Linked DNA regions of Arabidopsis thaliana. The protein of the gene in region 3 interacts with the protein of the main gene of each other region in a pairwise test. Each region holds a gene or a part of one and is shown on either strand. Other genes may lie near its edges.

The links. Proteins that work in one complex are often made in the same cells at the same time.
Region 1: the proteins of COS1 (region 3) and WRKY17 interact in binary tests that used the Arabidopsis thaliana proteins (3 or more experiments, as listed by UniProt).
Region 2: the proteins of COS1 (region 3) and RR14 interact in binary tests that used the Arabidopsis thaliana proteins (3 or more experiments, as listed by UniProt).

What each region holds. Positions count from the first base shown.
Region 1 is NC_003071.7:10,436,575-10,442,182, reverse strand, and holds WRKY17 (WRKY DNA-binding protein 17), read left to right. Parts: upstream 1-2,713; 5' UTR 2,714-2,960; coding exon 2,961-3,619; intron 3,620-4,110; coding exon 4,111-4,239; intron 4,240-4,329; coding exon 4,330-4,507; 3' UTR 4,508-4,830; downstream 4,831-5,608.
Region 2 is NC_003071.7:330,060-335,474, reverse strand, and holds RR14 (response regulator 14), read right to left. Parts: upstream 2,574-5,415; 5' UTR 2,435-2,573; coding exon 2,086-2,434; intron 2,008-2,085; coding exon 1,603-2,007; intron 1,520-1,602; coding exon 1,443-1,519; intron 1,363-1,442; coding exon 961-1,362; 3' UTR 779-960; downstream 1-778. Other genes in the region: VIT1 (vacuolar iron transporter 1), read left to right, coding at 1-27, 403-700; AT2G01755 (uncharacterized protein), read left to right, coding at 2,687-3,226; MAP70-3 (microtubule-associated proteins 70-3), read right to left, coding at 3,627-3,669, 3,773-3,966, 4,060-4,584, 4,681-4,752, 4,877-5,023, 5,132-5,287, 5,387-5,415. UniProt on the Arabidopsis thaliana protein: Transcriptional activator that binds specifically to the DNA sequence 5'-[AG]GATT-3'. Functions as a response regulator involved in His-to-Asp phosphorelay signal transduction system.
Region 3 is NC_003071.7:18,221,662-18,227,658, reverse strand, and holds COS1 (6,7-dimethyl-8-ribityllumazine synthase / DMRL synthase / lumazine synthase / riboflavin synthase), read right to left. Parts: upstream 3,447-5,997; 5' UTR 3,356-3,446; coding exon 3,205-3,355; intron 3,118-3,204; coding exon 3,002-3,117; intron 2,866-3,001; coding exon 2,770-2,865; intron 2,694-2,769; coding exon 2,598-2,693; intron 2,455-2,597; coding exon 2,376-2,454; intron 2,136-2,375; coding exon 2,089-2,135; intron 1,991-2,088; coding exon 1,931-1,990; intron 1,781-1,930; coding exon 1,742-1,780; 3' UTR 1,426-1,741; downstream 1-1,425. Other genes in the region: AT2G44060 (Late embryogenesis abundant protein, group 2), read right to left, coding at 1-737; AT2G44040 (Dihydrodipicolinate reductase, bacterial/plant), read left to right, coding at 3,661-3,674, 3,773-3,986, 4,148-4,385, 4,586-4,719, 4,815-4,889, 4,992-5,093, 5,186-5,295, 5,397-5,484 and 1 more. UniProt on the Arabidopsis thaliana protein: Catalyzes the formation of 6,7-dimethyl-8-ribityllumazine by condensation of 5-amino-6-(D-ribitylamino)uracil with 3,4-dihydroxy-2-butanone 4-phosphate. This is the penultimate step in the biosynthesis of riboflavin.

The DNA of each region.
Region 1 (5,608 bases), 7.8 Mb from region 3:
CATTTACCAATAATTTATCTCGTGGAGGTTACATTGACTTCTACAAACTATTCAAATCGATAACTCTAATTCGCTAAGTAATCCCCAAATCTTTTCTCAGTATCTTTGGCATAAATAAAGCCAAATCTTCTCGAGTGAATAGCAATAATTATACATCATGGCTTATATATTGTATTTTTCTGATAACAAATGTGCATTATTTCTATCATCCACTAACTAATAATTAAAAATTCAATATTGACCGTACTATTATAAAAAAAAAAAACAATGGTTGGAAGTTTGAAATACGTAAACAACAAAAAAACAAAAAAAAATAAAACTTCGTTCGTTAGTACCGTATGAATTCATAGATACAACATATACAAAATAAGTATTTTACCCAACATGTGTCTTCTTTCACTGGTTTGATCTCATTCGTTTTGCATGGGCTAACAAAACAATTATTTCAAATACGCGAAGATTATTATTTCTATGCGACCATTTTATAGAAAAGATAATTTAGATAAGATATAAAGGAGACATTTTTAGAGGAGATAACATTGAAATATATAGTATAATATATTTTTAGAGATTCATAAATTATAAATTTAGAAAAGGACATTAAAATTTGATATAGAAAAGGAATTTAAAAGTAAGTAAAAGTTTACAAAATCAGAAATGAAAAAATAAAATGCTTTTAAAAAAAATGTAGACGTGCACGACAATCATATATATTAGTCGGTTAGGTCAACGATTCCCATGTCGCTAATTTATAATGCATTCCGTTGACAAATATTTAAAAATGTTTCAATTATACATCTTGAGGTCTGTTTTTGCACACATAACACGTCATATATCATTGACAAAGAAAACACGTCGTAATTTTCTTTTTCTTTTTCTTTCATGTAGTCTTCTTGGCTTAAAAGAATTCAGCTAAGTAAGTATGGTTGATATTTTCTTCTACAAGTGATAAAACTTTGGAATTTTTGAATAAGTATAATTACAAGAAAACACTGCATATAACAACTACAAGAAAACACTGCATATACCAAAATTATCGAAACATGTATATTCCGACAAACTGAAATCACCGGAAAACGGTGGTGTATTGAAACAAAGAGTTGTTTTAACTGAAGTTTGAAAGTAAACAAAAGATTAAAAAGTAATTTATAGTAATGTTAATATTTACTCATGTTTCTGCTTTGGTGATTAGTAATAAATCTTCTAAAATCTATATGCCATTTTATAAATGCGATTAAAAATTTACCAATTAAACCTTATTTAGAAAAATGTAGAGAAAACTTCAAATTATCTCCTCAAGTAGGATTAGATCGAGCTGCAAATTGGCTCTTTTTATTCATTTAATTTCCTCCATTCCTAACTGTATTGGTATTGTTTACTTTATTTCTATAAGCAACAAAAAAAAAAGAATCTTGTGGACAGGTGACAATTTATGAGTCAGCCAGAATTGCCACGTGTCGGAAGATCAGTTGCCGTGGTAAAAGGTGTTTTTTAGATTCTCAAAAAAAAAGTAGTTAAAGAGAATAATATCAAAGAGTCAACTCCACAGTTCACAGATCCACCGTTGGATCTAACTTTTGGATTATCAACGGCCCAGATAATAGTTAACCGGAATCACTCGGTTACCGAGGTAGTCAATAGTTCTGTGTTTTAAAAAGAAATGCGTCCATGTGATCACTTTTATTTTATTTGTAGTCAGCTTTTGTTTTCCTACTTTGTCGTTTTTCTTTATCGCTGTTCTCAACTAAAGACTTGTAGACTATACTAATAAGATATAGTCAACGATTGTCGCTGTTATTATAGCCTTTAATCTCTATTAATGATTGTTAATTGTTCCACAATCTGTGTAGATTAATTAGGTAAAATTAAAAGTCAAGAAAAGATTGTTTTCAATTTACTAGTTTTCCAGTCAAGACGTTTTCTAGAAGGCTATGAGGTAAGAAAAAAAAAATATATATTAGGTGCAAAGTTAATATGGGAGTCAAATATTATTTTCAAATAATTATTATTGTCAATGCACTGCAAAATTAGTAATAATTCTAGAAAGAAATTGAAATAATAAAAATATGCTGCAAACACGAGTTTGGTATGTGTGCACCATATAATATTGACAAGTTGTAGTGTTGGTTGAAGCTAAAAATAACACAAAAACATAAAAAGAACATGAATAACGCCTAAAACTTAACACGAATAAAATAAAAAAACATAAAATATATTATCAAAAGTCAAAATCACAAAAGAAATTAATACCATTTTACAATTAGCTGAAAATTTATTCTATCAAAATCCAGTCCTATTAAAGAAAAATATGTGATTTGAGATGAAATTAATATTACATATTTTGATTTGGTTCAAGAATAAATTATGGATTTTGGTTAAAGACCTTCTAATATTCCAAAGAAACAAAAAAAAATCAGCCCAATTGTTCATACAAATAAAAACAATTCATTACCTTTAATTTTAAATTTATTGACTTGAACTTGAAGACATAAGATACCTAATAAAAGAAAAAATAGATATGAGACTTTAAAAAAGCTTTATGATTTTCTTTAGACACCATCCTTTAATGTTTTTTATTTGACTTTTTGTTTCTTTGAAATTCCTTTACCACCATTTTCCCCAAATTCAAGTTTACGCACAATGATTCCTTTATTTTAAAGACACGATTATAAATTCTTGCTTTGCACAAAAGAAGACCCTACATATCTCACAACTCAAGGAGACCAAACTTTGATTACTTTATTCCATAGAAATCTTCAACTCAATCTCAGCCGTTAGATCTAAAGCACCGATTTGACTAAACTCCATCTTAAACCTACTCAACCGGTCACTCGGTCACACCCATAACCCCATATATCACGCCAACGCCATTCTTTTTTCTTCCAGTTTCGCTCTCTCATTCATCAAAAAAAACTTGCACATCTTCTCAGATCTTCAAGTTTCTCCTCTGGTTTCTCATCATGACCGTTGATATTATGCGTTTACCTAAGATGGAAGATCAAACGGCTATACAAGAAGCTGCATCACAAGGCTTAAAAAGCATGGAACACTTGATTCGTGTCCTCTCTAACCGTCCCGAAGAACGTAACGTTGATTGCTCTGAGATCACTGATTTCACAGTTTCTAAGTTCAAGAAAGTTATCTCTCTTCTTAACCGTTCCGGTCACGCCCGGTTTAGACGTGGTCCGGTTCATTCCCCTCCTTCCTCCTCCGTTCCTCCACCGGTGAAAGTGACAACTCCGGCTCCCACTCAGATCTCTGCTCCAGCACCGGTTAGCTTCGTTCAGGCAAATCAACAAAGCGTGACGTTAGATTTCACTAGACCGAGCGTTTTTGGCGCTAAAACCAAGAGCTCGGAGGTTGTTGAGTTTGCTAAAGAGAGCTTTAGCGTATCTTCTAACTCTTCTTTCATGTCTTCTGCGATCACCGGTGATGGAAGTGTCTCTAAAGGCTCTTCGATCTTTCTTGCTCCGGCTCCAGCGGTGCCAGTGACTTCCTCCGGGAAACCGCCGCTTTCTGGTCTTCCTTACAGGAAGAGATGCTTTGAACATGACCACTCTGAAGGCTTTTCCGGCAAGATCTCTGGCTCCGGCAACGGCAAGTGCCATTGCAAGAAAAGGTATTGTTATTACTCCACAATAAATTAATCATTTGTTTGACTAGCCTAGTAGTAGTTAATTGTTTGGTTCGATACGGTCTAAACCAATCGCTCACGGACTCAGTGAAAATATATCACGAATTCAGATTTCAAAATTCTTTTTTTGCCTCGAATTTGTCAATCATGAACAAGTCTACTAGTTAAATTAACTAGTCTCAGTAAAAAATAAAGAATAAAAATCCGGGTTTAATACTTTGTAGACCGGTTTGGTACTATCTAAACCAATCGGTCAATGTATTTAGTGAAAGTCAACGACAGTAACTTAAACCAAAGTGCACGCCTGACAAGGACAAGTTAGTGGGTGCTGTCGTTTTGTATAGGGAAAGTTTTTACGTTTTAAAAGTCTTTGTCTGCCCGTTGACTTTTGCTAACCTGATGCATGTTCACGTTAGTCGTGTCAGCGCACGTTAAATCATTTCACTAATTACAATGTTTTATTATTTAATTAACAGCCGAAAAAATCGGATGAAGAGAACCGTGAGAGTACCGGCGGTAAGTGCAAAGATCGCCGATATACCACCAGACGAATATTCATGGAGAAAGTATGGACAAAAACCGATCAAAGGCTCACCACATCCACGGTAACTATCGTACACCATCGCTATCCACCGTTGATTTATTTGTGAAACATTGGAGATCTAACGGTTGTGATTTGTTTTTGTTGATTTCAGGGGTTATTACAAGTGTAGTACATTTAGAGGATGTCCAGCGAGGAAACACGTGGAAAGAGCTTTGGATGATTCAACGATGTTGATTGTGACGTACGAAGGAGAGCACCGTCATCACCAGTCCACGATGCAGGAGCATGTAACTCCTAGCGTGAGTGGTTTGGTGTTTGGTTCGGCTTGAAGAATTAATTAGTTTGGTAGTTTTGTAATATTTTGAGAAATAGAGGGGTTGGTTTTGTAATTTTTTTTCTATAACAAAATTAGTTTTAGATTTTTTTTTAGTAGTCTTTTGAATGGATTTTAATCTTACTACCGAGAAAGAAAAAATTCTTACTACATTTTCATAATTTCTTGTTTGATATATTTAGTGGTGTCATGTAAGAAAATGATGTTTAGCAAAGTAATTGGTATATAAATGTGTAGGCATATGTATTTAATGATATGGTTCGTAAAGTTACCATTACTCTGTTTGATCTAGTTATGATTTGTGATGGTTGATTTAGGGGAAAAATGTCATTTAATCCCCCAACTTTCAAAAAATGGCCATTTTATACATCAATTTCATATGTGGCCGTTTAAAACATGAACTAAACGTTGACTAATTTTTAAAACATGATCTTTCGTTGACCAGGCCAAAATAGACATGCCGTTATCAGTCATTAACGGAACTTCTAACGTCCGTTATCATTCGTTAACTTTATTAGTCAAGTTTCAAATTGTGGCCATTTTAAACATCAACTTCTTATGTGGCTATTTAAAACATGAATTAAACGTTGAATACCATTTAAAACATGAAAAATTCGTTGACCAGGCCAAAATAGACATGTCTTTATCAGTAGAACCTAGAAACCCGTTAATGACTGTTAATCTGTCCAAAATAACGTCGTTCAAGAATAATCGAAAGAACATAAAGATTTTTTCCATATGAAATCTCCATATCAAAAAGTTTTAAGCAGAACCCAAGAACATAGTTTGATAAAGAGATAATCGCAGTGCCAGTAATTGGAAGCAAATAAAGGTGTTTTCGTTTATATATTTGTTTTAAATTTTAAAAGGAATCATGGAAGCAAATTGAAGACTCATTATAAGATTGTTCGTCTTGTTTGAGCGGTTGTAAAAATAGATTTGGGGAAGTAGGGTTTCATTTAGAAAACAATCCTGATTTTCTTTTGATTACTCTCAAAACAAAGTCGTTTTAGGGATACTAATAGAGTCGTTAACAAGTGATAATGAATGTTATAAGTTCTTTTAATGAATGATGACAACATGTTTATTTTGGCTT
Region 2 (5,415 bases), about 18 Mb from region 3:
TCAAGCTTGGCTTGATTTTATGATGAGGTTAGTCTCACTAATGAAAATTAGTGTTATTTTATGTATACTATATAGTCCATTAGTATTATTTTATGTATATTATATAGTCTTAATTAAAGAGAAAATCGAGGGATACTTTTAGATTTCTGCAAAAGCTGAGCTTATACTTTCCAGGTGTGGGCAAGATTCTTATATGGTCCGACTTCCAATTTTAATCTTTTTTGTTGCAACAAATAAAGTACGTGAATAGTAACAAACAGAAAACAACAAATTACGTGAATATAAAAACTTATCTTATTGATTTGGTTAAGTTTAACACTCTTTACCTATCACAAAATGTTTATATTCCTACTATAAGCATGTAACTTGTTATATAAGTGAGACTTTATTGTTTCGTTACAGGTTTGAGCTGGGATTAGAGAAGCCTGATCCAAAAAGAGCGTTACAAAGCGCGTTCACGATTGCAATCGCTTATGTTCTTGGCGGTTTTATACCGTTACTTCCCTACATGCTCATACCGCATGCCATGGATGCGGTAGTGGCGTCTGTGGTTATAACTCTGTTTGCGCTCTTCATATTTGGCTATGCAAAAGGGCATTTCACTGGAAGCAAGCCCCTCAGAAGTGCGTTTGAAACCGCCTTTATAGGAGCGATTGCTTCAGCTGCTGCTTTTTGTTTGGCTAAAGTTGTGCAACATTAGCAGTAACAAAACTAGTGTTGCGTTTGATGTTTTGTGTACTTTGAGACTTGTTTGTTGCATGTCTTGTGGTTATTATCAGGCTAAAACTTTTGGCAACCATAATAAAGTGAGAGATAACAATTCAAAATATTGGTTACATAATTACTTTCCTAAGCTAACATTGCAGACACACAAGTTTTCTTCTGACATTAATCCATTCCTGAAGATTTAAAAGAAACAGTTGCAGAGCCTTCTCTTCTTAAGCGTATCCATATTGGTCACTATCTTTGTCTTGAAGATCTTTCCAAGATCCAAGATTCTTCATTGACATTTGATCCATACCCTTGTCTGATTCTGTTGTTGTTAACGTCACCTCTCTGTCTGAAATTTGCTGAGGAAGATAGACCATGAACCGCCACAGAAACAGGACGGTTAGAAGCGGATGATACATCAACCGAGAAGTGTTCATTTTGAGATCTACCAAGATTGTCATTAGGAATCCAAACTCCAAAACTAGCAGAGTGATGATTGTCTATTGGTTGACCAAACAATGCAGCTAATGTCTGTGGATGTAATTGTCCTGAGGAAACCAGAGCTTGAATGTTTTCATATCTTTTGGTAGACTCAGAGTCATTACTCTGCGAAGCTTCACCGCTTAATCTCTTCAAATACAATCGGAACTTCTGCAAATGGTATTGATTCAGTCATAACCCTTATAGAGACCCTAATAAGAAGAAAGATTCAATCAATCAATCAAAGAAACCTGTAAATGACTAGCCACGTTTTCTCTGCTTAAACCAGGAACATTCATCAACTCGAGAATCCGCTTTGGTACAGCTTCTGAAACAATAAGAGAGATTCTTATAAGCACAAATTACTTTGAATTTCTTCTACAAGCAATAAGATAGTGTTTAGGATCATACTGTCAATTCCAAGTTTGTTTACGGCATTAACGAATTGTTGATGCAATTCAATAGACCAAACAACGCGTGACTTCTTCGAGTTTCCAGGATCAAGAAGAAGATCATCTTCATTATCATCTCTATCAACACTTCTCTTCTTCTTCTTCTTCTTATTCCTACATTTCATCAAACTTTCCTCTGAGCATTCACTAACCGAAACAACAACAGTCTCGAGGCTACCACTGTTCTTGTTATCCTCTAAAGCTTGAGAACTTCGAAGCTCTTTCTTCATCACACATTTCCTTCTAACAACATGTTGCCAAATGTTCTTAAGCTCTTCAGGACGAATAGGTTTGATTAGATAATCACAAGCTCCATGGTTGATTCCAGTCATGACTGTAGTTGTTCTTCCATCAACAGACATCACTAGAAACAGAGCAAATGTAAGAAACATTGATGCAAAGATTCAATCTTTAGAGACAAAACATAACAACAGAGTCTTACTAATGACAGGAAGATCCATTTCAAGAAGACCAACTTGTTGAAGAAGATTGTAACCATTCATACCAGGCATATGAACATCACTTAGCACCAAATCAAAACTGTCTTTTCTTTCTCTTAGAATGGTTAACGCAACATCAGCTTGTGAGCAAATTGTAACTACAAAGAGAAGATAAAACAAAAATGTTAAAACTTTCTTGAGAAAATCTATTAAAAGGTGGGAACTTTGATAAAGAATTAGACCTTGGTACATGAGACGGAGAAGCATTTTCTCGAGAATGAACAAGCATGAAGTATCATCGTCTACAACGAGTATTCTTAACCCACTAGGAAACTGATCGTTGATCGGCATTAAGCTTTGGTGTGAGTATTGAAAACCCTAGAGAACTGAGAAAGAGATTTTGGTTGGAGAAGAAAGAAGAAGAAATGATTGAAGACGTACAGTGTTGAGTAAGTAGCCACTGGTTTGAAGAGAGAGGCAACGAAAGCGACTGGTAATAGCTGTAGTGGCACTCTGTTGTAATTAATCCAATTGGTACTACCCTTATTTGTAAACATACACGAGTCCTTTAAAATCTTATCTATAGACAAAGTCACGGTCCTCATGCACTACAATATCAGAATGCTTATCACGCCGGCGAATTTATCCGGTGGCATAGCCGGATTATTCGTTTTCGGACAGAAAGATCAAATGACTAAAATACCCTCGCTCACAAACTCGTATAACTACCGGAAAAAACTTTTCACCGTCCCTCCAGTGGCGGAGAGAAGAAGAGCTTTGAAGATGTTCTGGTGCGGTGCTCGGAGAAGGGTGAGAGACGAGGGAGGTGGTGAAGATGAAGATGAAATGTATGGATACAACGAGGAAATGGCGATGTTGGAGATATATAGCCAGTCGTGTAGAGAAGAAGCGCTTATAGTGACGGCCATTGTCGACGATGAAGAAGTGGAAGTTGTAATCTTTAAAGGAGTGTCGTCGTGCTTGAGCGGAGAAACGGCGGTGGATCCGGCGAGGAGTGTGTTGCCGGAGAGAGCAGTCATTACAAAGATTGATAGAGTGAGAGGTCCTTTTGATCCTTCACAGATTCATTATATTCAAAGGGACATCTCTTTTCAAGCCTTCAAGGAGACCAGACTCAACTAATGTTAGTGAATGTTGTGTCTGGATCAATGAAACTAATGACAATTTCAATTTTTTCACTAATAACTCTCACCTCTGTTTCTGAACTAATTTCTTAAATCTATAACATACCCCAAAATGAGAAAAATGGACAAAGGTAAGATAGAGAGAGATACAATAAATCACACACTAAGCTCAAGTTAGTAGTTAAAACACAAACCTAACTCTTTTCTATATATGAGGAAAACAATAAACATCAGCCAAGAAATTAAAAATCAGTTTTTAACTTTGAAATCTTACTATGTTAAGAAGCACACAAACCTCCCATATTGGATTTCTATATTTGTATGCTTTTTGTCATTCCTTCAATCTATTAACCACTGAATTGAGATTCATATTTTGCTCGTGGAATCGACTTCTTTGATCACTGCGTGCTCCTCGTCATCCCCATTCGTCCTGAGCCTCTGCTAAAACAACAATGCAAAGCAAACGTTCAAGTGTTAAAGAAAACTAACCTAACCAACTTATAATCGTTACATTGGGTCATTATAATAAGAAAACATCAGGTACCTTCCAGAAAGTAACTGTGCAGTTGTTGAAGCTCCTTTTGAGTTAGTAGAGTGACGTCTCGTTCTACTATCTGATCCTTTGTTATCCACACGCATAGCTGAAACCTCTTTCTCCATTGCTGCTACTTCTCTTCGCATCTTCTTTGCTTCCACTTCCATCGCCTTTGTTAGTGTTTCAACCTTCTTGGCCAACATCTAAAAGCAAACACAAGCCCAAGTATTTTGATCAGAGAATATAAATAAATATAAGCAAACGTTTCTTGGAAAGGTGTAAAACTAATGACTAACCTCAATAGCTTCGTCTTTATCTCTAAGGCTTTGATCTTTATCATTAGCAGCTTTCCTTAAAGTTATCACCTCCTTTTGAAGCAAATCATGTAATACTCCTGGGACACTATCATTATTTGTCCCTGCTGCTTTCTCTGAATCTCCTTGTTTTGTTGAATTAGGTGACCCGCCTCCGCTTGTTCCTTCAGAAGATTGGTTCAATGGAAACTTCGATCTGGGTTCGTTTGTTAGTACTTTACTCCTATCTAAAGATCTACTGCCTCCGTCAAATGATCTGGATGTTCCTTTCGCATGCTTCAATATTGTGCTTGTACTAGCATTCAAAGATCTAAACTGAGAACTTGGTGACCTCTTGGAGAAAAATCCATTTGATGTCAGTTTCGGAATAATATCAGCTCCGCCAAGGGATTGTCTTCGAGAAGGCCCGTTGCTCATACTTCTTCCCTCAGGTGTCGATCGGTTTCCACTGCTTGAAGGCCCTCTTAAACTCTCTTCTAAGACTCTAAGCCGCAGTTGAAATTTCTCCTGCAAAAGGCAAAAGCAGCAATTCTAATTAAAGCCTTGATACATAAGGACATAAAGAAGACTAAAGCTATATGGATCTGAACTCCGAATTCTTACCTTTAGCTGAGCTTCAGATTTTGCAGCTCGATCAGCTATGGCAAGTTTGTCACGTAGTTGTTGCATTTCTCCCTGTCCAAAAAGAAACAGGAAAATGGTTAAAGAATGCACTTACTCAAGTTACAATGGTTCCTGTGAATATGAATCACAACTCGAAGCAGTAACAGAAGCCCAAAAATAAAATATCAAAAGTAACCTGCAGAAATCTTCGTTCTTCGAGCCATTGCTTCACAGGCATCACTTTATCGCTACCATCTTTCCACTCATTTGCCACTACAGTTGCAACCCTGCTTGCACTTACTTTGGCACGAGCCAGTTCCCGATCAAGGATTCTCCTCTCTTCCTAATGAAAGGATTAATGGCCATAGCTATGATTAGCACAGGAATTGAATTTTAAGTACAAGGGTAGCAATAGGCTAATGAGGCACTAAACGTGTAATTTAATTATTACATTCATTTCTTGAAATTTCCTCTGGTAATCTCTCACTGCATTTGCAGCTGTACCACCAGCAAGAACAGCTTCTTCAAGCTCCCGTACGGTCTGGGTAAACTTTTCAACTTCTGCAACCTTTTGTCTGTGCAACTTGTCCAAAATTCTGTTCTCTTCCTAATTTGAACAATCGATAAACAAGGCATGCTCACGAAAACGAAGGAGAGAGATCCAGGAATTTATAGTACTGCTGGGTAAAGGAGGCGAAAGTGATACCTGACAAATTTCTATCTGTTTCATTAGCT
Region 3 (5,997 bases):
ATCTCTGCTTTCCCAATGCTTACATCACACAGCCAAACTTCACAGTCCAAGTCATTGAGCCCCAAGTCGAAATCATTCATGTTCTGAAGCCTCACATGGAGAATCGCCACGGTTTCCTCCAAAGAGAACTTCTGGAACTTAATCTTCTCGATATCAACATCAGGTTTCTTTGGAATTGGGATCTCTCCACATTTCTCCAGCGGCAATGTCAGTCTTCCCAATACTGGCACATCCACAATCAGATCAACCTTGATTCTGTAAGGTATGATCATCCCGGGGTTGATATCGTTGTAAGTGCTCTTGATGTCATCATAGATCAACGTCAATGGTATCTTCACAGTTTCTTCTCCATGAGCCTTGAGTGTTCCAGCATCCGGGATCAAACCAGAAACCAGTTTCCTCCCATCGCTCTCGACCAGGTAGTTGACATCGATGAGAGGGATAGGAACTGGATTCGGGTTCTTGACAAGCACATCCACAACAATATCTGCCCTCTCAAGATTGATCTTAGGGATATGAATCGCAGAGACATCAGCAGTTGGCTTCCCAAAGCCAATGGTTCCCTCGAGTTTCTCACCAATGTCATGAATGAAATCTTTCACCTTATCGAGGAATCCACCTTTCCCTTCTTCTTTTTCCTCGTCCTTATCCTTCTGACTTCTATCGACGATTTCCACGTCACCCTCCTGATGAACTACTCTACTGATGATTTCCGGTTTATCCTCAGATGTCGACATGCCTCCTAAGCAGCAAGAAAAGTCAATTAGTGCCACAGAAACAAAAGCTTAGAGTATCAAAGAATAGACAAAACTTCAAGCATTCAACGCCGAGAGTAGATTCATCAATCACAGCAGGACAATGGTTGTAAAAGTCAAACAAAGTGTAATCACAGTTTTTAGTAGTTGTAAGAGGCTATAATCACCAAAACAAAGTTTCTCACCAAAGACCATAGAGAACTCGCATCACATTAGATATCATCAACTAGGATCCTAGTGGAATATCCCAAACCAAAGAACATACAATGCATCTCTGTACTAAGAGACAATGATCATATCACGTGAATCAAGAGGATTCGTGGGAAATACAGATCCGAATGTTCGATCTACACATGATAGCACTAGATCAACCTAAATGTCAAACAGATCGGAGAAACAAAAAGCTCGATCTAATTACACCACCTTTTTCCATGTATTCCGATCAAATCATGAAGGATCAACGCAAGAACAACAATGAAGAGAAATAAAACTTAGTGGATTTGATTTTTACCTGGATTGGATGAATGTGAGTCACAGAGACAAAGAGAAGAGAGTGCTCCAAGAGTCACAAAATGATTATAGATTGTGGAATTGGTTGATCCGTTGAACTTTATATTAACTATTATCAATGTGACGCGTAATCTTCGCTCGCCGACAAAATTTTCGTCGTGTAAGATCCTTATTGGCTTTTAAAATTGACATCCATTTCGACACCTCAATTTCAAGATATTACAACAAAGAAGATCACATTTTTGATTAGTACAGAAAGACCCCCAAAATTCGGAGGAATTATTATTATCATACGATTCAAAAAAAAAAAACAAGGCCAGAAGCTTACAAAAGCGTTTAAATGATTTTGTAACCAAGGGTAAAACATTTTGACAATCTTTGAGGTACAAACAATTTCAGAGACTGGATTGTAACCAAATGGGACAACATCAAGAGGTTCTCATACGTGATCATGTTCATCCATCGAACGAGCCGAGCTATTTCAGGTGGTGCTCAAACAACGACGCCATTTCGAGCTGAAAAACAAGAGGAAGAAATATTCAAAGACTTTACCAAAAAGACATAAGAACCCGAATGGTTATAACATGACCAGTTGCTCAATGGAATGATCAGGAATTTCTACATCTTATTCTAACAATAAAGGATTGAATCATAATGATACTTACCGCCGTCAAAGCAGTTTCAGCTCCCTTATTGCCGGCTTTGCCACCAGATCGATTCAGAGCCTAGAGTTTCAGTTAACCACAATATTAACAAATTCAGTGTTCATCCATTATGATGAATAAGCTATATATCATCAACTCTTGCATAACACAACTTAAACCTGATCCATGTCCTCGCAAGTCAGTACACCAAATATGCATGGAACGCCTGCAAATTGGATTTTTTATAAGCTTTAATTACTAGAGTCAATAGTGCGTAAACACAAAATTTGAAGAAGTAATTCATGATGAGGGAATTTAAACATCCAAAATCCAAAGAAAAGCAAAAATGAACTACCCGCTCTTTTAGGTTCGGAAGTATACAAAATCAATCTTTCAGTGTTTCCAAAACAATGTCAAATAAAAATGTCTAAAGATGTATATCCAGCAAATAAGTATCGAGGTAAACCTGAATTTATGCTAGCAGAAAGTACTCCAGACGCAGCAGAGTTGGCAACAGCATCATAATGTGTGGTATCTCCTCTTATCTAAACCACAACAAGGACAACAGTAATATCAAAATCCAACTCTTTAAGTATATGTTATCAACATAAAGCAACTACTTTCTGAAGCCATATGAGGAGAAAAACAAATGGAATAGCCTGAGATTCTTTCAAAACAAGAATCATACCACAGCGCCGATACATAAAACAGCATGAAATTTTCCCGATTTCCCAAGATTTTGTGCAACAACACCAATTTCAAAGCTGCCAGGAACCCAAATAACCTGAATAAAAACAGTGTCATTAGCTTTGTGAAAGCTCATAACTTTTTATTCTGTTCTACAAGCAAAAGACTTTTACTTCAATGTCTTCTTCTCTGACTGAATACTTCTTGAAAGTCTCAATCGCTCCTTCCAAAAGCAACTTAGTCACAACCTCATTGAAACGAGCTACCACCTTGAGAAAGAAAAATGAATCAGAACCAAGTCAACACTGCAATTGAGCTCAAAGTTTTCAAATTTCACTGTAAATCAGAACCAAGTCACTAAATCTAAGCAGCGCACAAAGTAAGAAAGCGATTCTGAGAACTCACGATGGCGAATCTAAGACCTTCGCCTCTGATAAGAGACCCCGTAACATGGCGAACAGCAGCCGTCTGTACGAATGAAGAGCGTAATTCCTTCTCTACAGCTAGTGGTGACGCAAATCCTAACACCAAATGTTAACATCTCAATCACGAAATTGCGAAAAAACGATTTGAGTTATTATAAGAGAAGTGAGAGAAAGCAAGCTTACCGGATGTGGATGAGGAGAATGAGAGATTATTGGATTTGTTCACAGAAGAGCCACCGTGTATATAACAGGCGGAGGAAGATTGACGCGAATTGAGCTGACGGTGTGCCGTCGGTATCAGGCGGAGACACGGCGGCGAAGCTAATGACTTCATTTTTCGTTCGTCGGAGTTTTAGAGACGGTTCTTCGTTCTTCAGGTTAAGAGTGAGACTGTGAGGTCCATTAGCTTATCAAATCGGTTCAAGGCTTCCGGTTTATTATTTTCATTAAAATTACGGTTTCATTGAATCTATTAGTTTGGTTAGAGATTTCCGGTTTGATGAAAAGGGATAAGCTAAACCCTACATCCCCAATCACTCTCACCGGCCGGAAATTTTCAGACAAAAGTGAAAGATTTAAACTTTTGACTCCGTCGTAACAAAGAACAAAACTTCCGTATCCTGGAGAGTAAATTCCTTTATGGCTACGAATGGGTACGTTTCGAAACCTACGAATTTCACGTTTTGATTGACGGAGATGAGCTTTAAACTCTTTAAGAGGATTCTATTGAATTTAAACGATTTGATCACAGGTTAATGGCGTCGTCCAGTGTGTTTCTTCATCGCCCGCGTATCGCATTTGCTTCTAGAACGAATCAGACTGTAGGAAAATACGGTAAAGGCCGTGTTAGTTTCATGGGCATTGGGACACGTCGTCTTCCGGTGGTTTTATCCATGACGGCGATGGCGGATTCCGGTGAGGAGGCCGTGAAATCTGTTTTGCCTGGAAATGGCATATCCATCATGGTAAACCTGATCATCTGATGATTTCTCTTAGACTCAAAGTTGTGAGATTTGACTTTGCATTACCATTTAAGTTTGAAATGTAGAAATGTCAAAGCTTGTTCCTTTTGAAATGGGGATTTTTATGTTGGATTTAGCTATATTCATTATCTCTTATTCTACAGGTGAATGGATGTAGTGGCAAAATGGGGAAAGCTGTAATTAAAGCAGCAGACTCTGCAGGAGTAAATATTGTTCCCATATCGTTTGGATCTGCTGGTGAGGATGGTCAGAGAGTTGAGGTCTGTGGAAAGGAGATTACTGTGCACGGTCCAACTGAAAGAGAAAAGGTTCTTTCTTCGGTGTTTGAGAAGCACCCGGAGCTAATTGTTGTCGACTACACAATTCCCTCTGCAGTAAATGGTAAACTTCAGAATCTCTCATTTCTACCATCAAAAGACAATTGTATTCTAGATTTGTTGAAGTTATGGTTGAATTCTGGTTGGCGGAACGATCCTTGATTGAGTTAGTTTAGAATTTGTGCAAGTGAAAATCATCTGCTAGAAGTGTTTTTTTTGTCTATTGTTTGTTGATTTCAAGTTTGGTATTCTCGCAAAATGTAGATAATGCGGAGCTGTATAGCAAAGTAGGTGTTCCTTTCGTCATGGGAACAACTGGTGGAGATAGGAACAAATTGTATGAAACTGTTGAGGAAGCAAAGATTTATGCTGTGATTTCTCCACAGATGGGTAAACAGGTATGTGTACTTGAATGTTTCTGGAAGAAATGATTACTTATGCATGTAAGTTAAGATCATTTTTGCTCATATTTGTGTGCTTTGTTGGTCTATAGGTTGTAGCATTTCTTGCGGCCATGGAGATCATGGCTGAGCAGTTTCCGGGAGCCTTTTCTGGTTATTCCTTGGATGTACTTTTCTTACTTCTTTTATACATTCAAATTCTTTTTTCTTTCTCTGTTAGTTTTATATTACTTCTTGCTACATCTAATCAACTGCCAATCTATATGTAGGTGATGGAGTCTCATCAAGCTAGCAAATTGGATGCATCCGGAACAGCAAAAGCTGTTATTTCTTGCTTCCAGGAATTGGGTGTGTCTTACGACATGGATCAGGTGCATTGGTCATCCTTTATTGTTTACATCTTGGCAATCACTTAATTTATCCTCGGAATGTGAATTTTCTGTGTATACAACTTTTGTGGCAGATACAATTGATTCGGGATCCAAAACAGCAAGTGGAGATGGTGGGTGTACCTGAGGAGCATATCTCTGGTCACGCTTTCCATCTTTATCACTTGACATCACCCGATGAAACGTAATGCAATATCTAAGATATTGTTTATACTTTTCTTTGTTTCCATTGTAAAAGTGTCTCTGTTCCATAACTAGCTCCCTTTTCTTTGTCTTTCTTTGCAGTGTCTCCTTCGAGTTCCAGCACAATGTCTGCGGCCGATCAATTTATGCTGAGGGTACTGTTGATGCCGTGCTCTTCCTCGCCAAAAAGGTTCTAAAGCTTGCTCTTATTGCTCATCATGATTCTGCGAAATTGAATCTCAGCTTTCTCTGAGTCTCACCGCTCTTCTCTATAATGCTAATTGTTGATTCAACACTTTTGTGAAATGCAGATTCGATTGAAAGCAGATCAGCGAATCTACAACATGATCGATGTCTTGAGAGAGGGAAATATGCGTTGAGCTTTCGAGTTTTGCCAGTGCATTGACCAAATGGTGGTTGTAGAAGAGCTGAGATTAGATTTACCAAATCATCAGCTGTGAAAATTAGATGTTTGGTTTCCCACTTCTTCTGCCTTGAGCACAGGCTTTTGAAATTCCTTGGTATATACAAGAACTTGCCATTGTATTGTTCATGTTTTGACCTCTTTACCTCAATGTTATTCTCCTTTCTGGATCATTGAAGTGAAGTCTTATTGATCAAACTTCTCCACAACAATTCTCAGACAAAGTAAAACCTAAATTCATCAAATGGACCCTTCACTTACCATTTGATGATTCAACAT